Rattus norvegicus: one gene and its partner. The protein of the gene in region 2 interacts with the protein of the main gene of each other region in a pairwise test. Links are inferred from orthologs where the notes say so. Each region holds a gene or a part of one and is shown on either strand. Other genes may lie near its edges.

Region 1 (5,030 bases), on a different chromosome or scaffold from region 2:
ATCCCTGATCGGCACAGATGTAAAGAAGCACACAGACTTGGTATTTCCCAAAGCTGGTTTTAATTTCCAAAAATTATGAGGTCTCTTCCCACACTGGGGATAATAGGATGGGATAGCCCAGACTATTATCCCAGTCCAACCCCCAGCCTAGCCCAAACACCATTGCTGTCTCTGGGTCCCGTCATTTCACCACTGGGAGCTTATTTCTAACTCCCTCACTGGCCAAGACAGGTGGATGGATGTGAAGTTTCCAGGACTCAGCACTGTCTCTCCAAAGTGACCCTGGGTCTCCTCTGTGAGGGGAAGCCATCTGTGTCACGTCAAAGTGGATTGGTGTAACCACCAGGCTCAACTCAGATCCAAGTCAATCATCCCTGGGTCTAAGGGTCAGCGCCCAGGTCCTGGTGGCCGTTCCAGTGCCTGTGTGCCTACTAGTACATCCATGAGGTAGTCCAGCTCAGCCTCATCCAACTCTGGAGTTTCCTCCTTGGCTGGGCCATTCTCAGGGACAGGTTTGAGACCCTCAGAGGCTGGTAACCAAAGTTCACTGTCATACATGGAGGTATCAATGTCCTCAAACAAACCCTCCAGTCCATCGTCCAACAGACAGCCCGTGGCTGGGCCTAGCAAGTCCAAGGCACCCAGGTTGGGCAGGACACCCCCGACAGAGCGGCCTGGAGGCCCCTCGTCTGCTTGGGGTTGGGGGACCTGGTTCAGGTCCTCAATATGACTGAGATCTTCCAGGAGGCTGGCCATGGAGGCTGAGAGGCCGGCGTCTGAGCTAGACAGAAAGTTATCTGCCACAGAGGGGGCTGTGGGCTGAATGGGCTCAGGTGGCAGGACGGTCGTAGGCTCCATGGACGCCTGAATTCGTCTCAGTGTGTTCACCACAAGCACCAGGTGTCGGAGGTCTGGTTCGCTCTGCCGAAGGCTGTGGTGGAGCTTGACCACCGAGAGGTCAAAGAGAGAGCTAGAAGCCACGGTTGCTGGGGTCTGTGCCACTGCTGGGCGGCTTTGATCCAACCACCACGAGTCCACTGAGAGGGACTCCATTGTTTCTTCCTCCTCCCGCTTGCGCTTCAGACCTTTGCTCAGCATCCTCTGCAGGGAGGAAGGAGTCATTCGGTTATGGAAAGCCAATACGCAGCTCTCACAACTGCTGTCAGTGTGATCCTGACCAGTCAATTGACCTCCGAGGGCTAGGTTTCCTAAGCATATTTATTTCTAATGAGATAGGGTCTCATGGAACTCAGGCTGGCTTTGAACTTGCCAGGTAAGCCAACGTCTGCTTTTCCCTTCTCCATCTCTCCAGTGCTGGAATTAAAGGTGTGTGCCACCATCCTTGGTATATTTGATGCTAGGGATGGAACTCTGGGCTTCTTGCATGTAAAACAAACATTCTACCAACTGAGCTATATCCTCAGCCCCCTCGGTGAACTCCTAAGATACAGATAGCATCTATGCTAGAAGTTGCTAACACAGATTAGATTCAAAGAACAAAAACGTAGTCATTAGTACTTGAAATTTTACTTTTATTTTAAATTTTGTGTTTGTGTGTGTGCATGAAAGTGCAGATGCCCAAAGAGGTCAGCTGCCAGGAGTCCCTGGAACTGGTTTTAAAGTAATTGCAAGCCATCTGATGTGGGAACTGGGAACTGAACTCAGGTCCTTTGTAGGAATAGCAAGCTCTAAGCCCACATAATTAGTACTTATTTATAAGCACTTTTGGGTTTTATTCTTTTGAGACAGAGCCTCACAACTGTAGTCCAGGCTGGCCAGCCATTCCAGGCAATCCTCCTGTCTCCGTCTCACAAGGGTTAGGATAGTGTGTGTGCCACTCCTTGATTGCAAATGCAGTCATCAACACACAGAGTATCTGCTATATGCATGGGCCATTAAATAATCAAATGTACAGAAACTGGTAGGAAGATGCCATCTTGGAGGTAGTCAAGGCAGGTCTTTCTAAGAAAGATACATTGAAGATGAACCCTGATGTATGCTGTGTAGGCTATGGAGAACCTGGGCCAGGTTTTCCTGAGAGGGCCAAAGGAAGACTGAGAGAGGTAAACCTGAACTGGGAAGGAAAAAAAAAAAAAAAAAAAACAAACCACACACTAGGAGCAGGCGCAGAGTGACACAGTAGGAGTCCCGGTGGGGGTGGGGAGCAGGCAGAAGGAGGCGCGAGCAGGAGTAGGAGGAGGCTTGGATTTTCAGAGTGTCAGGACAGAGTCATGGAGGGTAGGGTCGAGGCAGGAAGATGAGTGGTGACATTAGTTGGCAATGTCTCTAGAGGATCCCGGGTAGCTGTTGCCTAGGGCAAGATTGGTGGTGGGGCAGCATCGGGTGTGTGTGTGTATGAAGGTTTGGGGATAGAAGTGGGCCCAAATTGCCTGCCTTCCGAGGCTGCAGCACTTGTTGGGGTGCTGACCGCTTGAATGTAAACCCTAAGATGTTAGCAATCATTCAAGGAAGCGGTGGATCCCGAACTTATTGAGGAAAAAGAACCGACAAGGGAAACCCTGAAGGGCCGCAGGAGTTAAGTCATTGACAGAAGTTTGAAAATCCGTACTTTCTTCCAAGGTGAGAGGTCTAGAGTTTGGAACCCCTAGCCCTATCTAACGGGGGCATAAAGACTGCAGGGTCTCAGTCCCGGGGACACTAGCCTAGATCTGGCAAGACAGTAAAAACCGAGTCTTTGCCCTTTTCGCTGAAGACCCGGGAGCCGGGAACCGCAGGAATTCAGCCCCCACCCCGACTCCGCCCCTCGAGTCCCGGCGCCCCCTAGCGGTACTCCGACCTGGGTCCCCCGGGACTCCGGCCCCTCTGACCCCGGGATCCTTTAGATTCTCCGGGGTCCTGCCTGTCTCTCCCGGGTATAGCAAGCCGCGACCCCCGCGGGTCGCTCAGCTAGCCCGGCCTCCCCTCGCTTCCGGAAGGCAGTGGAGGCGGCTCCTCCCGAAGCGGCGGCGGCGGGGGCGGATGAGTCACGCAGCCGGAGCCAGGGAGCCGGCGCCTCCGCCCCCTTCTCGGGCTCCGACGTGATTCACCCAGCCCGGCCGGGCCGGGCGACACATACAGGCCCTGGCCCTCGATCTCGAACAGCTCTGGCGAACATCTACCTAACTGAGGTATCGAACACGCTAAATATCCCGGTCGCCCGTACCCTCGTCTTTCCCTACCAGGCCCCTTCATTTACATACCCAGATCACTCCCGACCAATCAGAACGAAGAGGGAGCCACACGCAGCCAATCAGGAAGCGGCTGCCGTAGCATCGCTAGCTCGCTGGGCTCCAGCAACCGACACCTGGGACGGCAGGCGCAGTTCTGATTCGGGCGCACGACTCCAGACACTCGACAATCCCTAGTTCCCGCCCACTCGCGTGGCAGCCCCGCCCTCCAGCTCCGGGATCCGCTCTCGTTGGTGGTGGTGGGCGGAGCCTGATCGGGGACGTTCCAGAAGGAGGGGGGAGCCTGTCTCTAAAGCGCATGCCCAGGAGGACTGCCTGAGCGAAGGGACAAACTCTGGTAGCGATTTCCCTTGTGGGGCGGTGACAGGTAGGGGTTTGGGCCTTTTTAAAGTACAGGCCTGTCACTTCATGGTGATTTTAGAATACTGTATGACTTCTGGAAGAGGACCTGCCTCTTGAGAGTTACAAAATTAACAGTTTTCTCAGTAGGATTTACGATACCGGACTCAATCTACAGTGGGACAGCTGGATTCTGCTACTATTAAAGATGGGAGTAAGGTGGGGACGGAATGACACCAGGGTCACGTCCTGGGCATCAGTTCCGGAGTAGCTGTGTGACTTTGGGCAGCAGTTTAAGTCCCTGAAAATAATTTCCTGCGGGGCGTGGTTGTTCACACCCATAACACCAGCATGGAAAGACTTAAAGCAGGGGGATTGCTTTGAGTTTGAAGCCAGCCTGGACTTCAGAGTGAGATCCTGTCTTTAAAAAAGAAAGAAAGAAAACGACGAACTTTCGTTACTTTAGTTTTTGTGACAGTTTCACTAAGTTGCCCAAGTTAGCCTGGAAAACAGAACAGCCTCTCAAGTGACTGGAACCACAGGCTTATGCCACGCCTAATAGTCTTTTTGGTTGTTTGGTTGTTGGGTGGTTAGTTTGCTTTTAGTTTAGTTTTTGTGTATATGTATGTTTTTGTATGTTTTAGTTTGGGGTTTTCGTTTCGTGTGACAGGGTTTTTCTGGATAACAGCCATGGCTGTTCTGTAACTCGATCTATAGACCAGGCTGGCTTCTAACTCAGAGATTCACAAACCTCTGCCTCATGAGAACTGGGATTAAACGCCTGAGCTCCACAGTGGGCCTTCAGCTAGTCTTAAAACACGGCTGGAGAGGTACAGTTTAGTGAAAGAGTTCTCGCCTAACATCCCAGCATGTTAAGCACCGGAGCTCAATTGCAGCACTGAAAAAATAAAATGAAATAAAATGGCCGGATGATTTACTAAGGTTAGGATATCAGGGGCTGGAGAGGTGGCTCAGTGGCTAAGAGTGCACAGGACCTGGCTCAGTTCCTGGTTCAGGTTCAGTTCGGCACCCACATGGCGGCTCACAACTGCCTGTGACTATAGTTTTAGGAGATCCAACACCCTATGCTGGCTTTCTCAGGCACCTGATACACATAGTACATAAACAGACAAGCAAGCACAAACACAAACAGTAGAATGTTGGGCTGAGGAGATGGCACTCCTCAGCTGGGCTGTGGTTAAAGGCACTGGTGCTGCTGAGTGACAAGCTAAGGTCTGTCCCCAGGGCTCCATGAAGAAACCCTGTCTTGAAAAACAAACAAGCAAACAAACGAACAAACCAAGGAGCTAGTCTGTGAAGCTGGAGAGGTGAGTCATCTGTTAAGAGCACTGTCTGCTCTTCCAGAAGACATGGGTTTGATTCCCAGCACCCACACAGTAGTTCAACAACAATCTATATTCCAGTTCTAGGGAGTCAGATGCCATATTCTGGCTTTTGTGGGTACCAGGCACCTAGGAGGCAGAGGTAGGTGGAACTACAGGC
Region 2 (4,463 bases):
AGACTTGCTCTAAAGAAATTCATATACAAGTAGATCTCTGCGAGTTCAAGGCTAGCCTGGTCTACAGAGTGAGTTCCAGAACAGCCTGGACTACATAGAGACCCAGTCTCAAAAATCCAAAACGGAAGTGTTCCAAGTGTTAAAAAAGGGAAGAGCTAGGCCATATGTATGGCTCAATACAATTAGGAATTACACTACCATGATGACATATGACATATATAATATTTTCAGAGGCTTTCATTCATTTTATATATATTAAAGGAAGGTAACACTTTTTCCTCTTTTAGCAGATGGCAAGCACGATCCTAAGAATAAAAATGGGCAATAATGTAAATATTCCTAATATCACACAACTATACAGTAAATGCTAATTTAAGATGGTAATTCTACGCCATGTGTATTTTACCAAACACACACCAAAAACTATTTTAAGAACATAAACTTTATAATAGCTCTAGCTATCACAGCACAGTATCGGAGAATTCAGACATGAACAAAAAAGTTGTGGTATGTAAATATGGCAGGATACCATGCTGAGACTAAATGAAACATGGCCACAATAAGGATGAGTCTCACAGGGCTGGAGAGATGGCTCAGAAGTTAAGAGCCCTGACTGCTCTTCCTGAGGTCCTGAGTTCAAATCCCAGCAACCACATGGTGGCTCACAACCATATGCAATGGGATCTGATGCCCTCTTCTGGGGTGTCTGAAGACAGCTATAGTGTGTTTATATATAATAAAATAAAATAAATCTTTAAAAAAAAAGTGCTTTAAACTGCTAGGCCATTTCTCTAGCCCCAAATATTGTAGGTTTTTTTTTTTTATAAATCACGTCATGTATGAAATGATATATATATCATACTTAGAAGAGAAGTGATTAAGTTAGATAGAAAGGTCCAGATGCAATAGTTTATAATCTAATAAGCTGGTATTCAAGTATATCTCTAAAAAGGCGAAGGAAGGAAGGAAGGAAGGAAGGAAGGAAGGAAGGAAGAAAGAAAGGAGGACAGAAAGGAGGATCAAAGGTCTTTAAAAATATATAGGGCCAGTGGTAGCACACAGCCTTTAATTACAGCAGACACAAAGGCAGGTAGGTCACTGTGTGTTTAGGCCAGTCACAGATCATAGCCAGACCCTGTCTCAAAAACCAAAAAATGAACAGAACTACATAATCACTTCCTCAACTACACTAGCCTTTACACCACTCCCTCCATCCCTGCGGTCTGGCTCCCCAGCCTTTCTCTGCCATGTTTTCAGTCTCTGTGTCCTTGGCCTCCTGGGGGCCTCCAGCACTCTGATTGCCCTTGGCTCCCATGACTCCTGGCTATGCAGAGAGTCATCTACTTCAGACTTCTTCCCTCCTCCTCTGGCTCCCTTGCCTGAGCACATGCCTTCAAAGGGGAGTGCCACAGTGCTACAATGAACTTTCTGTCTCACTTTCACATCCGTGTTCCTACGCTTAAACTACTGAGGCTCTCATGACTTCCATGGCTGCCTTTTGATATGGCTCCTACATTTTAGTTTCTATCAACCAGCTGTAAAATCAATTGCATCCTACTCTTGGTACAGCATCGTCTAACCTCTCAAGTCTTCTTTGTCCCATCTGTAGGGAACATATTTTACCTGGTAACATTAGTCGACTGCATTCTGAGGCCTCGGTCACTGGAAGGAGGGATAAGCAAGTAATGTCTTTAGCTTCTGATTCTACTAGCCCTTGTCCCAGGGGGATGGAGGTATTCTGAACAAACTGAACCAGGAGCTGAGGAGGGGAAAACAGCAAAACTGAGAATCAGAATGAATCTCAACTTTAAATTTATCAAACAAGTGATAATATAATTAAGTCTTATTCCTGTCTCAGTCATATACATAGAAAAACTAGATTAACTACATTTATCAAGGTGTTTGCTCTACACAATAGTTGATTTATAAAATTAAACTGATCTGTCATTTTCTATCATAGAAAAATTATAAAAGTGGGTTTTAAAATGATGAGCCCCCTTGGTTTTAAGTCAACTGCACTGTACTGATTACATTAGAGAGCACTTTCCTGGGTATTTTTTCACTTATTCCTAAATTCCTAAGTAAACACGTATTTACAAATGACGAATCATCCTGAAACACAGACTTGTCTAAGATGATATAATTAAAGTTCCAGTCTTCAAAATTAAGAAATGATTTCAAATTTAGTGACTTTTCTAGTAAACACAAACTTATTAAGATTAAAGTATGAAAAATGATAGAAATTATAAAATGCTTAAATCATATTTAGAAAAATTATTTTCAGATACATATTAACAAGATTCGTGTAAATAAATATATACATACATAAATATTACAACTATGAATATAAATATACTTTAGAAATAGAACCTATCTTATCATGTTTAAGTACTTTAAGTATTTCCTTAAATACTTAAATAGCAGATATAGAAAACTCACGAAGATGGAAACTGAATAATAAAGTCTCTAAGAAAGCATTTAGTAACAGAAGACTCATAAACTAAGCACTGAAGTAAATCTCATTTGGCTTTGGAAGTCAAGAATGCTTACGATTAAGCCACTCACGTTGTTTCCTGACCAACGGTCTAAGAAGACACAGCTAAGTGGGCTCACCTCTGGTTTGGATTCTAACTCATCTGATAACATTGATTCAGCTTCTGAAATCCTGTAGCTGTTCGGGGGGACAGGGTCACATCTAATTCAGCCAATGACACCTTCCTGTTACATTCACATCCCTTTAAAAAACAGAACACTTCCTGTAAGACGCTGAACTAGGTTGGTAATCAATTTAACCTAAAATAAGGGTAAAAAAAGAGAAAGACACAACATTAAGAGCAGTCAGCAAATGCAGCTAAATCAACAAAGGCATCCCTTTATGTCCAAAAGCCATAAGCAGACACTCAGCCTATAACATGTGTTTTAAAGCAGAACAAGCCCAAAAAGTATCAAAACCTATAAAAAGCAATATGCTTTGATAACTATCTTCAATTTTTAAATCTTTATTTTTATTTCATGCACGTGTAACTAACTCCCTGTGTGTCCAAGTGTCCAGAGTCCAACAGAGGGAATCAGATTCTCCTGGAGCTCCATGGAGTTCCAGGTGGTTCTAAGCTGCCCTGTGTGGATGCTAAGGGCCAAACTCTGTTTCTCTGCAAGAACAGCAAGTGCTCCTAACCACTGAGCCTTATCTCCAGTCCACACAAAAGTTCCTCCTTCTAATGAAGCCCTGACTGCCTGAAATTCACATACAGACCAAGCTGGCCTCCACTGTCAATGATTTTCCCATCCCTTCCTGAGCACTGGGAGGGATTACAGATATACGTGGCTATGAAAGGGTCTTAAAATATGGAAAAGCTATATTCCCAAAGATGCTCATTGAAAATATAAGACAAAGAACTGGAAGCAACACACACAATAATCTTTTAGAACACTTAAACACATACGTACTATATAGGGCTTGACTCTTGACTATTAAATATGGCATTGTCACTTCGAAACACAGTTATGACTAGGGATGCGGTTTAGTGGTAGAACATTTGCCCAGCATGTGCAAATCCCTGGGTTTGATTCATAAGACACACACACACACACACACACACACACACACACACACACACGCACACACACACACTGAAGACCATGCAATAAAACATCGGTTACAAACCTATTTCCCATTTTAACAGTAATTACATCGTAAGAAAAAAGTAAAAAGAAATTCACAGATAAAACAGCAGTTTTATTGTTTAACAGGAAAGTGTGACTTACTCTTTTTTCTTATTCTAAAAGGTAATTATGCCATTCTGATCATTTAAAAGATAAGTCTAGCAGGGGCTTGGTGGTGCAAAGCTACAACCTCAGCACTCGGGGAGTGGGCTCTACAGCAAAGTCAAGGTCTGTCTGGGCTATTGTGATCTCAGAAAGACAAAAACAATCAAGTTTACAATAGTACTCAAGTCTAGCTGTGTAACTCAAGGCAAAGCACTTGCATAGCATAGCACAATGTTCGAGTGTAATCGCCAGTATTGAAGACAAACAAGCCAACACACGGGGTGGGGTGGGGTGGGGTGGGGTGGGGGCAATGGGACTGTTTGCACACAGATGCAATGGATTCATCTGCATTCTTCCTCCCTCCCACCCTTCCTTTTTCCCGGGTCCCTACTGGACACTGAACCTAAGGTCTGTCTATCCACGCTGAGCACAGACCTTGCTAGTTCCCTAACCCGAATCTCCTGGATAACTCCCTGCCTCCATGGACTTTGGCACATGAATTCACTTAATTTGGTGGAACTGCTGGTAAAATTGGGAGTCTGAGATCCATAAAGTGAAGACAGGAAAAAGGTGTGGTGGCAGGCATCTGCAAGCTCAGCAGTGGGAAGACTGAAGCAGAACAGGGAGGTTTGCAGCTAGCATGAACCACACTGCAAGATCATCTCTGGAAATAAAAAGGAAGCAATGTGTTCAGA

The links.
Region 1: the proteins of Zfp410 (region 2) and Sertad1 interact in binary tests that used the Homo sapiens proteins (3 or more experiments, as listed by UniProt). The two-hybrid records come from large-scale screens. The link is inferred for Rattus norvegicus from reciprocal best matches to the Homo sapiens genes ZNF410 and SERTAD1.

What each region holds. Positions count from the first base shown.
Region 1 is NC_086019.1:91,901,579-91,906,608, reverse strand, and holds Sertad1 (SERTA domain-containing protein 1), read right to left. Parts: upstream 3,313-5,030; 5' UTR 3,201-3,312; intron 1,102-3,200; 5' UTR 1,099-1,101; coding exon 388-1,098; 3' UTR 44-387; downstream 1-43. UniProt on the Homo sapiens protein: Acts at E2F-responsive promoters as coregulator to integrate signals provided by PHD- and/or bromodomain-containing transcription factors. Stimulates E2F1/TFDP1 transcriptional activity.
Region 2 is NC_086024.1:109,697,992-109,702,454, reverse strand, and holds part of Zfp410 (zinc finger protein 410), read right to left. Parts: intron 2,794-4,463; 5' UTR 2,647-2,793; coding exon 2,614-2,646; intron 1,760-2,613; coding exon 1,624-1,759; intron 1-1,623. UniProt on the Homo sapiens protein: Transcription factor that binds to the sequence motif 5'-CATCCCATAATA-3', and is specifically required to silence expression of fetal hemoglobin in adult erythroid cells.